4 linked regions of the Arabidopsis thaliana genome follow. The protein of the gene in region 1 interacts with the protein of each later gene in a pairwise test. Each region holds a gene or a part of one and is shown on either strand. Other genes may lie near its edges.

Region 1 (4,770 bases):
ACTCTGCTATGATCGATAGAAAATAAATATCACTCGTGCGAAAATATCTACATGTTAAACGATGAACTAAAATGATTAAAAAGTAATAAACATAAAGGATGATCGAAACAAATTTTTAAATATTAAATAATAATCGACCAATTAATTTTGAGTTTGATGATGTACAAATAACATTAGGTACACGTATTCAAAGGAGACAAGATTACTATAGCTTAAATTCAATTTGAAGTGCATACAACAAGATTCTTTGTATCATCATGAAAAGTTTGTCCTGCAGTTTTATGTTCACATATTATTTATTTTTTCGGCAAATTGGTTCAGATTTTAAGATTCCAAGTGTCCGACCAAATTTGATTACAAAACGCAGCCTAGTCACATCTATCTAATTCTTTAAATTTTGTTTTCATATCAAAATTGATTTCTACTATTATATATTCCCAGAGTGATTAGATCAGAATAATCAAAAGATGCCACCTAATTTATATACATAACTTTTTTGGTTTTTGATGTTGAAAAGTAGTGACAAAAGATTTTTAATAGACCATCATTTTATAACATGCAAGTAAATATCTCGATTTAAATATATTTTTAATAACATCACGAAACAAATTTGTTAAAACCTGACATAAAGTGATCCCCACCGGCCAAAATAAATCTTCTATTGGTTGTGTATTTTCTGACAAACATTTGTTTTAAAGATTTTTAATTTTAATCGGATACTTAACCATATATTTGATATGGAAATACATTATATTTTTGTTTAAAGTAAAATAATAGAACATGAGTGTAACTAGACGACCCCCAACCTGCAAACAGATTATTTGGTCTTGTGGACTGGTCTACTACTATCTCACGTGCAAACTTGACGCTGCAATGTATACATTTATCTATATGCATCTATGTATCTAAATAGTAATTAGTAACCATAGATAATGGATCTAATTCCACGAAGTTGGATAGATATTCTAAGGTAATATCTGGTAGAATTTTAATTTTCAAACCAAAAAAATTGTTACCAGATGTGAATGCGTAGAACTAAAAATTAATTGGCGTAGACCGTCCTAACTGGAAACTCAAATAACTTTGTTTACAAGTAGCATGTAACTGTATATATATAATGCTTTAGAATTTTTATGGTCCAATTGAAAATTTCACATTTTCGTTTTATTGTATCACTCACTTGTCCGACTGACGTAGAATTGCACGTCTTAATTTTTTTTTGGCGAAAACGCTAATCCGCAACAAAAAAATTTGTTAAAGTAGTCCGTAACTTTTTTTTTGGTTAAAGTAATCCGCAACATGACATATTAGTACTAACGAACTATTGTTTTTTCTATTAATTTTTTGCTATATTTAGAATTTTAAGTAGTTTAGCCATCACCATCTGTGTATCCTTACACTATACATATTCGGAAAAACTCGAAAGAGGTTTTAACTGGTTATGATCACCACCAGCAGTCCAGCACCAGTTTTCTTTCACTCGAACGTCAATATAAATTCACTGCCCACTATATCAGCTTTACCATTTCTTAATAAATTATTTATTATTTATTTGATTTTGAACTAAGAAAGATTATGGGTTTTTAGGAATAGTTCCAAACAATTAACATCTTAATAATAAAATTACTATATAATAAAACTAATTTATATTAAAAACATTATGAACAATTTTTTTCTTTATTTTCTTAACCTCTAATTATTATGAACAAGTTATTTAAATACAATTGGGATGATTATTACAAGTGCACTTTATATCTCCTTTTCAGTGTTTTTTATATATATATTGGTGACAAATACATCTTTTCTTTAGTTTTATTTTTCTTTTCGTTTTTGATCTCTGCGGGAGCATTTATTTTTGGTCAACTGTGAGAGCATCAAAAAAAAAAAAAAAAAAATTAATAGCCTCACAAAGCTTCTCTCAATTCCCTTTTTAAATAAATCACACCACTTTGTTTGATCCTCATATTTCGGTTTTCACTCTCATATCTTTCTTTTGTATATTTATTTTTGTTGAAGATTCACTCTCCTATTCTTCCTCCATGCCGGTGAGTTCTTGAGAATTTAATATTTTGTAAATCAATTTACAAAAAATCTTCATATAACTAATACCATGCTTAGTTTCCTTTAGTGGGCTTAACCCTTTTGCCTTTATTTCCCCCTCGAGACAAAAAGGAGAGCGACAAACACTTCCTGTCTAAATTTTGTTTTCTCTCCTTCTCTCTCCCTCTCTCGGTTTCTCAATCTTTCTTATTTTTTCCATAATTCTGAATTTTTCTTTTCAACAATCTCCGGCTAAAAAATGCCCTTAGAGGCTGTCGTATACCCGCAAGATCCATTCGGATATCTCTCCAATTGCAAAGATTTTATGTTCCACGACTTATACTCTCAAGAAGAGTTCGTAGCTCAAGATACGAAGAACAACATTGATAAGTTAGGGCATGAACAGAGCTTTGTGGAACAAGGTAAGGAGGACGATCATCAATGGCGAGACTATCATCAGTATCCTTTGTTGATCCCTTCGTTGGGAGAAGAGCTTGGTCTTACCGCCATTGATGTGGAGAGTCATCCTCCTCCACAGCACCGGAGGAAGAGGAGGAGAACGAGAAACTGCAAGAACAAGGAAGAGATCGAGAACCAGAGAATGACTCACATCGCCGTCGAGAGAAATCGCCGGAAACAGATGAACGAGTATCTGGCTGTGCTCCGTTCTCTAATGCCGTCGTCGTATGCTCAAAGAGTAACTTACTAATTCAATGTTTATATATGCTATATATCATTTGGTCAGGGTCATTCTTAGGTATATGTGTCTTTGTTTTATTACTTGCTTGGCTGTAGTACTCATTTCTCCATAATATATTAACACAAAAGAATAGAATGAAAATGACTGAGAATATATATTGATGTTTTTATACAATATATTAACAAGAAAATCCACCGTAAATATGGAAGGGTGACGCGTTTATATACATACTAATAATCTTTGCTGTTACATATTTTAATGTATTTTTTAAAATAAAATATTATGTGTCACCAAAAATTAGAACGAGTATGATTGAGAATATTGGGATATGTTTTAGAACAATTTCGTAATAAACTTAAGCAATTAGCAATGATACGTGTGTGTGTATATTTATACATTCAAAGATTTTTTCAATCTTTATGATAACTATATGATCTGACATGAGCGGGTTTTGGTGGTAAAGGGAGATCAAGCGTCGATAGTAGGAGGAGCTATAAACTACGTGAAGGAGTTAGAGCATATTTTACAATCTATGGAGCCGAAGAGAACTAGGACTCATGATCCCAAAGGAGACAAGACTAGCACTAGCTCGTTAGTGGGTCCATTCACAGATTTTTTCAGCTTCCCACAATATTCTACAAAGTCATCATCAGATGTACCGGAAAGCTCATCTTCACCGGCGGAGATAGAGGTTACGGTGGCAGAAAGCCATGCGAACATCAAGATAATGACGAAGAAGAAACCGAGGCAGCTTCTTAAGCTCATAACTTCTTTACAAAGCCTAAGGCTCACTCTTCTTCATCTCAATGTCACCACTCTCCACAACTCCATTCTCTACTCCATCAGCGTCAGGGTACGTACATTTTCAACTTCTCATCATTACTTTGTTTGCTTTTGGGGTAATCATGAGATTAAAGTGAGTAATGACTGTGTGTGTGGTGCATATGGTTTCACTTTGTTGATTTATTTTTTTGTCTCTTATTGTTGGGGGGAAATTTTGGATTAGTACTATTGTGGTTATGCCTGGGCTTTAAAAAGGTTGTGAAGAAAAATTAAAATCATTCTCTTTGTTTTTTTCTTACCTCCTTTGGGTACTTAGGGCTGGGGCCTCAATAGTTGTGGGTCAAACTCATAATCATCATTTTGATTATTATTTTTGTCAATAATAAATTGCGTATCTTAATCGTGCCTGTAAGAATCAGGGGACCAACCTAAAGAAACGAAACACGAATATGTGTCTATCTATATCCACGAATTGTATACGTGGTGTTGTGTATTTATATATGTTTATGTATATGTTTATGTACTGTGGATATATGTTCGGTGGTCACATAATTGTAGATGAGATATGTACGGACAACGAAGTGAGTCCACCATTTGTTTCAGGAGATATTTAGCAAATAGAAAGATATTTTGTTATAGTTATCTACATCCTTCTAATTTTGTTTGTTGCAACTTTTTTCAAGAATTGTTATGTATATCTTTATTTCTTAAGAGAAAATGTGTTGGTTCAGGTTGAAGAAGGAAGCCAACTGAATACCGTGGACGACATTGCAACAGCTTTGAATCAAACCATAAGGAGGATTCAAGAAGAGACATAATTCAGCAAATAGATTATAATTAACTTGTTTTATTTTTATTTTATTTTGAAATAACTGAAATCAGTTTTCTAATTTTTTTTTTTTTTCACTATTCCTCTAATCCTCCCTATGTAAGTTGCATTTTTGTCTCTTGTAATGAATCAATGGTCATAAAGATCTGAACAAAAAAATTGAATAAAAGAAAATGGTTTAAGTCGATAAGTATGTGACATTGGGCGCTAATAGCCGTTAGGCCTACGCCTAATGTACTTCTCAGTGTTTTTAGGGTTGTGTTTAGTGTATAATTATAATGATTAATAGTATGATTGATTAATTTTTGAATTTATTTTCTTCAAAGATGAATTCGTCTTTTTCTAGAACTTTTAAAGTTTGTGGGTTCAACTTTTAATCCGTTAATCACTAAATTTTAGCATGCTCCTACGATAGTGG
Region 2 (4,363 bases), on another chromosome or scaffold:
ACTATTTTTTTATAAAAATAATAATATACCTTTATCATCTCTGACTTTCCCTACTCCACGACATATTTGATTAACAATATAAAATAATTTATAGTTTCCACTCTCAATGAAATAAAACGATGGACCGTTTCCTCATGTCAAATGAATCAAATCAACAATCTCTATATAGTCTTAAGAATGTTGGTCTTAAAATTCTATTGAACTCAAATCGTATGAAAACAAGTTAAATTGTATATAAACAGAAAAACCAGTGAAGGTTGATTAATTAATAATTTACTTGGTTAAATTCTTCTTATTGAAGTTGGTGTACTGTAACCTAAGTCACTCGAAGTCTACAAATATTTAATATATCTATTGACTAAAAATATTAAAATAATTTGCTGAGTCAAACCATATGACATGAGCACATATTTTGGGAATCTTTCTAAATTTAAAGATCAAACCTAAAATAACCCAAATGGATTGGAGGGGACGGTCTGACTTAATCCATTTATACATTTATACAGTTGTTTGTTAGTGATTATATCCGAATATCAACAATTCATTTTAATAAATTTCAGAAAGTAAAAATATATATTTTAATCATGTCCATTACAAAACAAAAATTATAATTAAAGAAAGTCTTCATTCTTTGGTGAATGCATATATGGTATACGTCTTATTAACTACTTCTTTTCAAATAGTTGTATTAATTTATATTTTCTGTTCAATTAGGGAAAAAAAACTTATTTCGATAACTCTCTTTTTGTTGTCATATCCATATATAAAGCACAATGAAACTCAATTAAGTGTAATCCTAATTCCTATAAGTTATGATATCATTTGGAGAGGCTTGAAGCAAAACCAATAAGCTATTTTCTCCAAAGAGCAAGATTGATCTAAATCCATATATTTCAAAAAAAATTTGTTTACAATGTAAATCCATATTTGTTTGAAGTTTTTACATTTTTTTTTAAAGAGTCGACACGTAGGTCAGATATGCGCACGTAACTGTGTACAAACAAAAGACGTCCGGAGTCGTATAGATCAAAACGAGGCCAGCCAACAACTACCCTTTTGCGATGGATTTGGTAACGCTGACTTTCTTTTCCTTGTACGTATTCATCGACCATCCCAAAAATGAGATTATTTTTTGGACGACAAACATATTCTTTCTATATTGACATATATAACTGTGACGTCATTTTTGTTTTTAATTATTTGAATCAGTAAACCCCCAAAACAGTAGTTAATAAATATGCATTGCTATACAAATATACAATTTGCAAGTAAAATAAATACCATATCCGTACGATGACTTAATTAAAAATATATTCACATTATTTGTTTAACTAAAATTTTATTACTTTTTTCCCCTTGACAAGTTAATACTTCAACTGCGTTCAACACATAAAAATAAATAAATAAATATATATACTTCAACATATATCAAACATTTTAGTATTACCATCCCATATCAAAGAGTAAGAAAAGTAGTAATTATGATGATAGTAAGAAATTAACTCTGTTTTACAATGTTTGAGAAGATAGGGTCACAACTCACAAACTCACATGTACATCAAAGTTTTTATTTGATTAACCAAAATCAAAACTAAACTTTACATTGTACGTACGTTGGTAAAAAAAATTTGTCATCTTTTAATTACTTAATTTGCTTGACCTAACTTCCTATCGACTACTCTGATAAACATACATTATCTAAATAATTAATAGATTAATTAGGGAAGTACCAATAACATATAAAACTCTTGTACAAAACTTTTTTTTAACAAATATTATAACTTTGTTAGTTGACTTAAACCTCATCGCTACATATAAATACAATCCCCATCATCAACATCATTACTGTCTCATGCAAACTCTGACACTTACGAAGAAATAAGTCTACACAAACTAAACCATTGTCTACGTAACCAACAAAACATGACAGAAGAATTCGACACTACGGGAGTTTGTACCGGAACATGGTGGAGCTCCTCCAACGGCATGTTCTCAGGCTGTTCTCTGCCACGTTCCGCGGAGATTGTTGTCGATTTTGGTGAGATTGAATGGCAAAACATTGATACCCTTGATGCCAAAACTTACAACGAGAACTACCTTAGTACTTCCACATTCTTAGGCAATGCAAATCTTGATACCACATCACAAATCTACGTTTCGAGTCCATCTAACATGTAAGTCCATTTATCATCTTACGTGACGTATAACGTAAAATCATGATCTTTGTTCCTGAATCCTGACATTCTTTTTCTTTTCTCTTTTTTACCAGCCATGAAGAAGAACGATACAATCAGATAAATAGTTTTCTAGAAGGATTGTTTGATTCTAGTGAGCAATTATTGGTTCCTAACTGTCCCAAACCAGAACTATTCGAAAGCTTTCACTTCTTTGATGACGTTTTCCCGAACGAATCAAGAATGATATCAGTATTTGATCACCAAAAACCCAAGGAAGACATGCAAGCTTGCAAGAGTCTGACTACATGCAAGGTGGGCAAATCTATTTAATTAGTTTCTTTTAATAGAGATATTTTACAATATTTCTGTAGATTTTGACATTGTGACCAATTATTTTTAGAGAGCAAGTGAGAAAAGTGGAGAACTCGAAGATATTGAGTCATCACAGCCATTAAAAAGGCCAAGACTTGAGACACCATCTCATTTTCCGAGCTTCAAAGTTAGTAACAAATGATCTTACTACAGTTTTCAAGGATTGTCATTTATCACTAAAAAAAGTTAGTTATGCTAAGAAACACATACCCATGCACAAACTATTGCTGATATTTTTCCAAAAACTATTTTGATTGATAAGGTTCGTAAAGAGAAACTCGGAGATCGAATTACCGCGCTTCAACAGTTAGTTTCACCCTTTGGCAAGGTTTGTGTTCATCATGAATTCATGATCTGTTATATTGATATCTCTACTATATATTATCCATACATAATTACGAAATTTTTTTAGCTACTTCTGTTTTCAAATTTATTTATTATTATTTTGTGATGATTTTTACAGACAGACACTGCTTCTGTCCTCCATGATGCTATAGATTACATCAAGTTTCTACAAGAACAAATCACTGTAAGTTGATAATCTCTCAAATATGAAATACTACTACTAATTAATTGTTGGTTTTAGTTAACTGTTATATTTATTCTTTTTATAATCATTTAAATAGGAAAAGGTCTCTACTAGTCCACACCTGAACTCTATAGGATCTGGTGAACAGAAGCAGGTACTTAACTTAGTTAACGGTTAAACAACTCTATAATCTAAAATCAATTAAGTAGTTTGATTTTTGTTCTTTTGCTTATGATCATTAATAAGATTCTTTCAATTTCTAGTGGTCAGACAAATCAAGCAATAATACTCATAATCAAAATTGTAGTCCAAGACAAGATCTTCGAAGCCGCGGTCTTTGTCTGATGCCGATCTCAAGTACTTTCTCCACTCCTCCGCAGCATTTGGACACATCTAGTTTGTGGAATTAGACTCTTATACTGAATCAAAAATGTAACATTAGTACATTACACATGAAAACTCATAGATTAGTTTTGTTCTAAGAACTGTAAAGTCTGGTGTTAATTTGTGTATAAAATGTGATGTCTCGTTCCATTACTTCCTACAAATTTAGAGCCTACTTCGTGGAATGGCCGAAAGATTAGATAATTTGTGTTTCTTTTTTTGCTGTTTTATCAATCAATACTATTTTATTGAGTATGTTCACTTTTTCTGTTATTTTTTTATTTTTTGGTAAACCACTTATTCTGTCATATTAAAGACAAAAAATTTTTAAAAAAATTGGTCTTAATTTAATGATTTATTCTCACAATATCGTGATTCCACTACACATTATTTAATTTCCACACTCTGTAATAATACCAGTCACAGTCAGAATCTTATAAAGGTATATAGAATATTGTGGATTTTTAAAAAGGATTAGGAAGACAAATTAGATGATTTTTTGTCAACTATAAATTAGGTAATTAATATCTCCATTAAGGAGATCTTTAATTAGAAAAACAATCACTTTAATAAAGCAGCTCTTTTCATAGTACTCAAAGGCTACACACGACTCTGTCTTGTTTTGTTTGTGTGTCCTCAAATCAAGGCATATGATTGAATAAGAAACATAAAGCAGTGATATTTCAGCACTGTTTTCTATAAAAAAAAGAGCACGAGTGTTAAAAAAAAAACAAATAACCCATCTTTTTGTGAAGGAACATTAAATCATTGTGGAGAGAATTCAACAGAGACCATGTGCTTTTGGTACGAGCACGCCACAACTGAATTGAAAACAAAAACCTAAATCGAGTAGACATGGAATCATAAAGTACAGTTACTGGTTTGTCCCAGTGACTATTGT
Region 3 (5,685 bases), on another chromosome or scaffold:
ATTTCTCTTTTGAAAATACTCGTATCCCTTTAAACAATAATTCAGTTTAATGAAAATGTAAGGAGGCGGATTTTTGGGAAGCATGAAATGCTTTTTTTTTCTTTAACAAGTGTTCAATAAAGAACCTTTCTGATATAAAAGTAAAAACCATTGTGGGCCATATCTTACTTCCACTAACATTATTCCAAAGTTATAAAAATATATCTGTCCCAAGATTTTTTTCCTCTTGTCCAATCAAAATATGCATATTAACACATTACTCTCTCTTATTCGTGGAATCTAATTATTCCCTTTCAAAAATTAGAATAGCTAAAAAAAGGAAGAAACAAAAGCTCCTTTTCTCCATAATTAAATCACCTTTCTCCTTCTCTGAATCAATGAAGACAATACTTACATTATAGATCCCTACATTCTTCTCTAACGAATAACTTAACATCTATCTTTCATACATAACATCTATTCTTCTCTGAATCAATGTTTATACTCTTTGGAGGGAACGGAACACTCGTCTGCACACTTCTTCTTCGAGACCTGCTGCTGGACTGATTATGGAGATAAAGAATCTTATTCGCACTCATCTTGATCCTCTCTCACGAGCTCAACGTATTGGCCCCAATGGTTTATCGTACCTCGCCACTTGGTTCGGTCTCTTTATTTGATCATATGCTTTGTTTTACTTTTCTTTGTTGTTTTGTAGGTGTTACTCGTTTTGGAGGCGGTGTGTATTCGATTTCGTTTTATAAATGAAGGTAATGTTAAAAAAAAAAAAAAAAAAAAAAAAAAAAAACATCTATCTTTCATACATAACTATTATAACCCCCCAAAAAAACCTATAGATATATGTTTGGAATTAATTTGGTCGTGTGAAAAAATACATGTCAAATCTCAATAGCTCTTATATATCTATGCATGGTTCTTCAATTACACATTATTTTTTAGTTCTATGAATAAGAAGTATAAATGGACAACACGTTTCACTTGTCCATTAACTTATCTCCTCTTCGTTTAAAAATGCGGTGATTCTTATCAGCAATCAACGTATATATTATAAGTTAAAAAAGATACGTACGTTACCCGACATCTAATATACGATTTTCCGTCTATATATCTATCTAAAAGTCCCACCAAATGTAGGAGTCCAGAAATCTACTGTAGTATCGTGTGTCACTGGAAATGTGCTTGAAACTGGCACTAAGCATAAACCTCGACTTCTAAGATCTGGTTCTTCTGATACTTCTAGCTCTGTGGAATGATCACTCTGCATCATCATTAGAAAACAAAGAAAAAATATAAGTTGCAAATGATTTCTTTTTTCGTTGCAAAAACCGTCTCGCTACATTGTTTCTTGGAATAATGCTTTATTGTCCAATCTTAAAGATGAAGCAACCATATTAAATACATGTAATAAAGAATGCGAACGAGAGCCATACGTTTATTCAATGGTATAATAATAATAACAGTATGATAATGGTTTAATAATGTATACATAAAATTATATAATTAAAATATTACCTGTTGATGTTGTAAAGAAGCTCCACTTTTCATGTATGGGTTGCTCAGAGCCTGAGTTATAATCATTTGCAGGTTTGTTGTACATCAGTAGAAGAAATACAATAACTAACTAAACTGTAGCAGAAAATGTTTGTGTACTAAAAATACGAAGGAGTGGGCTAACTTACAGAAACTTGTTGGTGTAAGAACTTAATGTATTCAATGGCTTCAGAGAGCACTGAGGCTGCATCAGTCTGACACAAAAGCACATGAGATTCAGTAAAACAAAATCTAAGAAATGGTATATCATTCATTCATCTCCAACATAAATATCTATTGAAATAGACCTTACATATAAAATAAATCCATAAAGATATAATAACAATAACATGATAAGTAATAATGACAGTATACAAATATACTAATACACACTCATCATCTTTCTGAAAGGTAAAGCAAAAATTTGCAGACAATGAGAGAGAGAGAGATAGTACCTTTCCGAAAGGTGAAACCAATTGTTGGAGCGCAGCGATTCTGTCCCCCATTTTCTCTTTCCTCTAATTCAGCAAAATTTTATCAAAACAAATCCTTGTTATAAAAAAAATACTATGAAGTAAAAAAACTAAAGAGATCTAGTATAAGCAATTATGCAAGAATTGTGGGAAGAATGTTTGTTTTCTTGATATAAAATAAAACAACTTCGCAATAAAAGAATGTTTCATAATATCCTATCATGCATATACTTTGGTGGTAAATGATAAACCTAATTTTATTGTTCAAATTAGGGTTTCGGTTTTGTTTAATAGAAAGATTCGGATTGTTTTGGCAAAACCATGGAAAGCTGGTTTTATTTCAATGTCGTTAAAGATGCTTTTATTTTCATACCAAAAAGAAGCTTTATTGTTTATTTTCCCCTTATTTAAAAAATAATATCAACAAAGCAAAATACCTTGAAAGCTGGTGACGGAGACGCTGCTTCGCTCTTAGCTCTTTTCGCCGCCGGCTGATGATCGTTTCCTCCTCTCTTTACTTCGTTGCTACTTGAATCTCTAATCTCCGATATATTCTACGACCAACCAATACATATAAATTATATAGATCATATCCATAAATCTAAATAAAGTAGTTCGTGTAGCTATAAATATATACCTTTGGTTGTTCGTCAAAACTCTGCGGATGAATCTGCGGCGGTTGTAACGCCGGGAAAAAGTTAGAAGACGCGTCATGAGGAGGAGGAGCACCGGCGTTTCCCGCAGCCGCGGGGTTCCAAAACGTTGCGTTATTAGAGAATCTCAAAGGACTGTGTGGTTTTGGCGGCGGAGAAGATCTTAAAAACCAAGTCGATGGTAACGCTGACGCCATTTGATCATAGTTTCCGGTGGATGATCCAAACTGAGAATAGCCAAGAGATGACTGTTGATGATTCCTCGACGGTTGTTGATCAGAAGAGCCAAAACCACCTGCTTGCTGATGATGAAACATACCGGAAGATGAATTAGGAGTTGTTGTTGTTGCTGCGTACATGGCGTTTGACGAGTTGTCAACAGCGAAACCTTGACATGTTACTGTGCTACTGTCGGTACTTGAGCTACCATGAGGACTGAACTGATGATCTAAGAAAAACCCGCGATTACCACCACTCGTTAAAATCTGCGGTTTGAAATCGCTTTGTGGATCTCGCCACAAAGCTTGATGATGGTGAGAGGAATCAGATTCTTGCAGCTGGTAAGAAGATGTGGATGACGTTGTGTTAGCGTTTGCGTTTGAAGTGGCATCTAAATTGAGATTCTCTTGAAGCATCACACCAAAGCTTGTCTCCGCTTTACTATCTCCTCGTCTTTTGTTCCCCGCAAAGAAAAAGAAAACAAAGACAAAACACATAAATCTTATGACTGAAACCAAATAAAAAAAAAGAAACAAAATTGAGACTTACAAGAGAGATTGGTTCCATTGATCAACAGGTGATTGTGAAGAAAGTCCTAAACCAATCATCTGAAGATGGTGATCAGTAGCTAAAGAATGATGATGAAGCTTATCATGGAAAACAGCAGAACCACCAGATTCAATAGAGCTTGCTCTCATGGAAGAAGAAGAAGATGGTGAAGAAGAAGAAGATACTTTCCACCAGCTTCCTGAGTTGATGAAATCATGATGATCTCCCATAGCTTCTTTTTTTCTCACTATATATATATATATATATATATGTGTGTGTGTATTGATGTTGGATCTTAATTTGTTGTGTCTTCTCAGATTGTGGTTACATGAAATGATGAGGATCCACACGAGAGAGATACTTATAGTTATAAATATTTATCAATTTAAATTGGATATTTTTTCCTGGTAGGGTTTTCGTGAACTATTTATGAAGAGTGAAGACATCCGATTAATGTTTGGTTGACATTTTTTCAGGTGGCTCTCGCTGACTCTCTTGCCCACGTCATTCCCAACTTCTGTTTTTGTTTTACTAAAGATATTGTTGATTTTTCCATTGGTTACAACTAAAAAGAATAAGTATTTCATTTCTCCTACTTTCCTTTATATTTTGGTAAAGTTTCCTTTTATTCATTTTGCAAGCATATATTATATCACTCTTTATAATTTAATTTATTTTTTGGTCACCCTACTCGCAATGATACAATAACAACATTTTGTAAAATATATTTTGTATTAACATCCTTCAATTTAGTGAATGTAAATGTAACAACCTTTTAATTCATTAACTAGTAATGATTGATACTTGATAGGAAAACAAAATAAATCTAGATTTAAGTATTTCACATTGAGAAGTAAAACACTAGCTAATGAGGAAATACAAATTGACTTTGTAGATAGATTTTTGGGATAAAAAAGGAGGTTGAAATGGATTTGACTTATTTTAAGCAAGAGAGACCAAGGATGGACTAGAAGGAGCGGGTCACAGTCACGGTCACAGTCATAGTCACAAACCACTGAGATATTTTTAAAATAATTCTATTCATTTTAATATTTTGGCCTTTGAGTTTGGCTATGAAACTTCAGCGTTTATTTTTTTCCAGTCACAGCAAGTCAACGAGTGGGCTCCACGTGGCGTGCGCGCGTGCTTTCACACTTGGACCCCACTTGTTTCGTCTCAGAGTCAGAGCCTGAATATGACTCTTCTCTTTTCTTTTCTTTTTAAAAAATCTTTTTGTTTTTCTTTTCGGCATCTTTTATTCTTAATGTTAATTACGGTAATTTTCTCTCTTAACTTTTTAGAAGATTAATTGTATATAATTTGTGTTTTATTCACTGGTCGTCTCCCTAATCATTTTCTTTTGCCTAACGTTTGTCTCTTCTCATTTTCCAATTCTCAACGAGCTCGACCAAAAAAAAAGAAGTCATATATATTGATATTGAATTTTGCTGTTAATATTCGCATTAGTGTTTGTAATTTCTATATAGTCAAACAATATATCACATACGTACTTTCTTCTCTTACAACCGCAAATTTTTTTTTTTTACAGTTTGCATGATCCTGTTTCTGTCTAAAACATTACATTCTTAATACATTGGAATCATTTTTTTTTTTTTTTTGTAATGTTAAATTCATTGAAGATACATTGGAATCATTTTGGAGTTACTGAATCCATCTTACCCGATTTATAAATAAAACCATTCGAATAATTGTTTACAAACCAAAATAATCGAAAATGTGGGTTTGGTGGTGTAATTTACCTTTTAGAATGGGGTGTTGAATATAATTTACAAAATACTTTTTTTGGAGTTGAATATAAGTTTACATTGATTCAAGAAAAATGAATGGGGGTGTTGATTGTTCATTTCTCTAAAATAACATTACAAGCGAAGTACTAACGATTACTTACTTATTAAAAGTTGATTGCCATTGGAGACACAATAGTTCCACGGCAACATTCCATTGAGTTGGTGATCTTATAATTTGAAGAAGAAGAAGAAGAATACCACCATTTTTTAACGTGCAACATTTACAAGAAAATGAAAGATTCCATTGCAAATTCACCCATGTAACTTGAGCTCGTGAGTAGTGACTATTTGAATTTACTGCTTAGCTCTATTTTTTATTAGACCACTATGGATTAACTCATCATGATCTACGCATTTTAATTTGCTCCAAGTCAAATAGTTCAAAATCCAATTGCATTGCTTACAACATTACTCTATACATTGACTACTGCACTACAAAAACTAGCTAGTGTT
Region 4 (3,892 bases), on another chromosome or scaffold:
TCGTCACTCTTATTCCCACTTCCACACATACACATATACAACAGAGCAAGAGAGTCAATCAAGTAGAGTGAAGATGGCAACTAAACAAGAAGCTTTAGCCATCGATTTCATAAGCCAACACCTTCTCACAGACTTTGTTTCCATGGAAACTGATCACCCATCTCTTTTTACCAACCAACTTCACAACTTTCACTCAGAAACAGGCCCTAGAACCATCACCAACCAATCCCCTAAACCGAATTCGACTCTTAACCAGCGTAAACCGCCCTTACCGAATCTATCCGTCTCGAGAACGGTTTCAACAAAGACAGAGAAAGAGGAAGAAGAGAGGCACTACAGGGGAGTGAGACGAAGACCGTGGGGAAAATACGCGGCGGAGATTAGGGATCCGAACAAAAAGGGTTGTAGGATCTGGCTTGGGACTTACGACACTGCCGTGGAAGCTGGAAGAGCTTATGACCAAGCGGCGTTTCAATTACGTGGAAGAAAAGCAATCTTGAATTTCCCTCTCGATGTTAGGGTTACGTCAGAAACTTGTTCTGGGGAAGGAGTTATCGGATTAGGGAAACGAAAGCGAGATAAGGGTTCTCCGCCGGAAGAGGAGAAGGCGGCTAGGGTTAAAGTGGAGGAAGAAGAGAGTAATACGTCGGAGACGACGGAGGCTGAGGTTGAGCCGGTGGTACCATTGACGCCGTCAAGTTGGATGGGGTTTTGGGATGTGGGAGCAGGAGATGGTATTTTCAGTATTCCTCCGTTATCTCCGACGTCTCCCAACTTTTCCGTTATCTCCGTCACTTAAAACTTCGGAAAAGTCAACGTACGATGACGTTTTCACTTGCGTCACTCTCATGATTTCATTTATTCTTGTATAATATAAAGGTAGCGGTAGTGTGCAAATATCAAATAAGTAGTTTAATTAGTACCAATCATTTTATTCATTATTTTTTTTAGTAGAATATTTGGATGTTGAAAATATAAATTTAATTTTGTATTTGTTGATGTTATAAATTTATTGATTGTATAAACATTCTTAGTCATCAGTTTCGTTAAGTCCATATCTAAACACTTCATATCTGCTAAATAGTCAATAGATTATAAAATTGGATCAGGAAAAAGTAAATCGGAGCTATAAAAAAATAGTGTGCAACGAAAAGACAATTAATTAGTTAAAAATACATACAAATCTAAACAAATTCAAAATTTCAATAGTGGAAAACACCAATCAAATGGATAATGCTGTCGAAGATTATCTACAAAGCATCAATAAAAGTAAATAATTAATATTATCTTACATGCTATTATAAAAGATTATGAGATTAGGAGTATAATTGTCAAGCAACTGAGCAAGAGGGTAAGGTTTGGTTATTATATATGTGGAGCCCTATACGAAGTTATGTAGAAACAAAGAAATATCAAGTTGCTTCAAATCATATCCTAGCAAGACAACCCTACAAGACAAGCAATTTGATGAATTTGTCTCTCCTTTTTATTCGAGTGAAAGTCATTATCTTCTTATCTTTTTACTCGAATGTGAATATGCAAAATATCTTTTGATATTTAAGAGCTTACCTAGTGAGTCATTACTACTACGAAAATCATATATCAATCTTATCATAAAACTTTTAAGATAAAAAAAAAAAAGAAAAAACTTTTGAGAGATTGGCTTTTAAAGACTTAAGTTACGATTATAAACACTAGTAGTTCAAGTCTTTTTGGTTTTGGTTTGTGTTATGTTTTAGATTTAAAATTTCAAATGAACCTACGTCCTTAACCAACTCAATCAAAATTCTAGTTAAAAAAAATAATCACCATTTTGTTAGCATTCAGCTTAGGATTCGAACCATGGGTAGCTCAAGGTATTTTAAACTCTAGAGGAATAAAATGGATGTTAGTGAAATTTGTCAGCATCATAGACAAGATCAAGTTGGCACAACTTGAAGGGTCCTGACAAAATATCTTAAGTTGCCTCCATAAATGTTTAATGGATAAGACTTGGCCCCACAGAGTTAAACCAGAGAGACACAGAGAGAGACTTTTGACACCTCACCCATGGCTGCGTTAACACATGTTTAGGATTCCTTTCTTTATATAGCCAACAATATCATCAAAACTTTTTCTTCAAACACCACTTGCAGTTTTTCTTATTCTCCTGTCTTGTCTAAAGAAAAAAGAGAGAGGAAGAAATGGAGACTTTTGAGGAAAGCTCTGATTTGGATGTTATACAGAAACATCTATTTGAAGACTTGATGATCCCTGATGGTTTCATTGAAGATTTTGTCTTTGATGATACTGCTTTTGTCTCCGGACTCTGGTCTCTAGAACCCTTTAACCCAGTTCCGAAACTGGAACCTAGTTCACCTGTTCTTGATCCAGATTCCTATGTCCAAGAGATTCTGCAAATGGAAGCAGAATCATCATCATCATCATCAACAACAACGTCACCTGAGGTTGAGACTGTCTCAAACCGGAAAAAAACAAAGAGGTTTGAAGAAACGAGACATTACAGAGGCGTGAGAAGGAGGCCATGGGGGAAATTTGCAGCAGAGATTCGAGATCCGGCAAAGAAAGGATCCAGGATTTGGTTAGGCACTTTTGAGAGTGATATTGATGCTGCAAGGGCTTACGACTATGCAGCTTTTAAGCTCAGGGGAAGAAAAGCTGTTCTCAACTTTCCTTTGGATGCCGGAAAGTATGATGCTCCGGTCAATTCATGCCGAAAAAGGAGGAGAACCGATGTACCACAGCCTCAAGGAACAACAACAAGTACTTCATCATCGTCATCAAACTAATGGGGGAATAGTGATGTTTAATTAGTATATATAGGTTAATATCTTAAGTATGTGAAGCATCATGTATAGAGCCAAGAACCTGTTAGACTAGTGTACTGAAAAGAACTCTTGCAAAATATGTACTAAAGAGTTCCTGTAACAATGGAACTTCTGCGTTTTCTCTTGTCTTAAAGAGCTTAAGGTTCTAGAAACAAAGTTCTTGTCCTTTCGGTTTATTCAGAGTACACTATTTGGGAAGACAAGAGGACCTAAATCTATCGACTACATTTATTTATTAATCTACTGTGATACTTAAAATCGAATTTCTACCTGAAAGACCTTAACATAAGCCTTAAAGTTTCTCCAATGACACAAACAGTACCGTACAGTGGCTTCAGTATTCACTATTCGATATCACTGAGGTATTAATTAGTTCACATGTCCAGAAAGCGTGAATCAGTGAATTGAGTAGAAAGATGAACAAGTTGCAAGAGGGACCAAGTTTAAAGAATATAGCAGCCAGAGTTTTGTCTCATGGTTGGGTACAAGTCAGCATTCATTTTTTAAATATGACAAAGAATTGGATGGACCACACGCAACAGCTCAAGAGGGGAGAGATGCACAAGTTGCAATATGGAAAAGTAAACAGAGGAAGATATGTATTAACATCTCAACCTCATCGTTGAGATGGATGTTGATTATTATTATTAGGAATAACTAAAACCAAAGAATTCTTATAAGTTATAACAATGAAATTACTTCATGGTTTTTTGATAAAGATATCTCCTATGCATATATATCTAGTATACATTTGGAACAGTTGATGAATATCAACTGACCTGTTTCTTAGATAGAAGAGATCTTCATGTTATCGATCTTTTCTTGAGTTTCCATGTCGATCACATTCTGCAATGCTCCTTCACCAGTCAAGAAACTCGGTTGATTTGTCGATGCAAGGAGTCTAGCCCACATCCTATCAGTTAACTTCACCGTATTTGTCACTTCCGTCACCTGCTGCAGAAGTAAAAAATCATGGGATTAACTTTAACCACAAAGGTTTAGGACTCAATGATTTTAGTCTAAGAATGATTAGAGAAGTAAAAGAGAAAAGCTTACAGAAATTG

The links.
Region 2: the proteins of AT1G22490 (region 1) and B70 interact in a two-hybrid assay, tested with the Arabidopsis thaliana proteins (one large-scale study listed by BioGRID).
Region 3: the proteins of AT1G22490 (region 1) and AT3G20640 interact in a two-hybrid assay, tested with the Arabidopsis thaliana proteins (one large-scale study listed by BioGRID).
Region 4: the proteins of AT1G22490 (region 1) and AT5G61590 interact in a two-hybrid assay, tested with the Arabidopsis thaliana proteins (one large-scale study listed by BioGRID).

Annotation. Positions count from the first base shown.
Region 1 is NC_003070.9:7,938,019-7,942,788, reverse strand, and holds AT1G22490 (basic helix-loop-helix (bHLH) DNA-binding superfamily protein), read left to right. Parts: upstream 1-2,163; 5' UTR 2,164-2,299; coding exon 2,300-2,737; intron 2,738-3,203; coding exon 3,204-3,746; 3' UTR 3,747-4,192; downstream 4,193-4,770.
Region 2 is NC_003075.7:11,351,141-11,355,503, forward strand, and holds B70 (basic helix-loop-helix (bHLH) DNA-binding superfamily protein), read left to right. Parts: upstream 1-1,817; 5' UTR 1,818-1,923; coding exon 1,924-2,174; intron 2,175-2,269; coding exon 2,270-2,489; intron 2,490-2,577; coding exon 2,578-2,676; intron 2,677-2,811; coding exon 2,812-2,877; intron 2,878-3,012; coding exon 3,013-3,078; intron 3,079-3,175; coding exon 3,176-3,232; intron 3,233-3,341; coding exon 3,342-3,488; 3' UTR 3,489-3,684; downstream 3,685-4,363.
Region 3 is NC_003074.8:7,209,546-7,215,230, forward strand, and holds AT3G20640 (basic helix-loop-helix (bHLH) DNA-binding superfamily protein), read right to left. Parts: upstream 3,930-5,685; 5' UTR 3,655-3,929; coding exon 3,425-3,654; exon of another isoform or gene 3,373-3,424; coding exon of another isoform or gene 3,329-3,372; coding exon 2,641-3,328; intron 2,558-2,640; coding exon 2,441-2,557; intron 2,049-2,440; coding exon 1,986-2,048; intron 1,746-1,985; coding exon 1,680-1,745; coding exon of another isoform or gene 1,671-1,679; exon of another isoform or gene 1,564-1,670; coding exon 1,513-1,563; coding exon of another isoform or gene 1,501-1,512; exon of another isoform or gene 1,259-1,500; coding exon 1,109-1,258; 3' UTR 765-1,108; downstream 1-764.
Region 4 is NC_003076.8:24,763,550-24,767,441, reverse strand, and holds AT5G61590 (Integrase-type DNA-binding superfamily protein), read left to right. Parts: upstream 1-1,930; 5' UTR 1,931-2,183; coding exon 2,184-2,789; 3' UTR 2,790-3,186; downstream 3,187-3,892. Other genes in the region: ERF104 (ethylene response factor 104), read left to right, coding at 74-799; PFK4 (phosphofructokinase 4), read right to left, coding at 3,615-3,782, 3,885-3,892.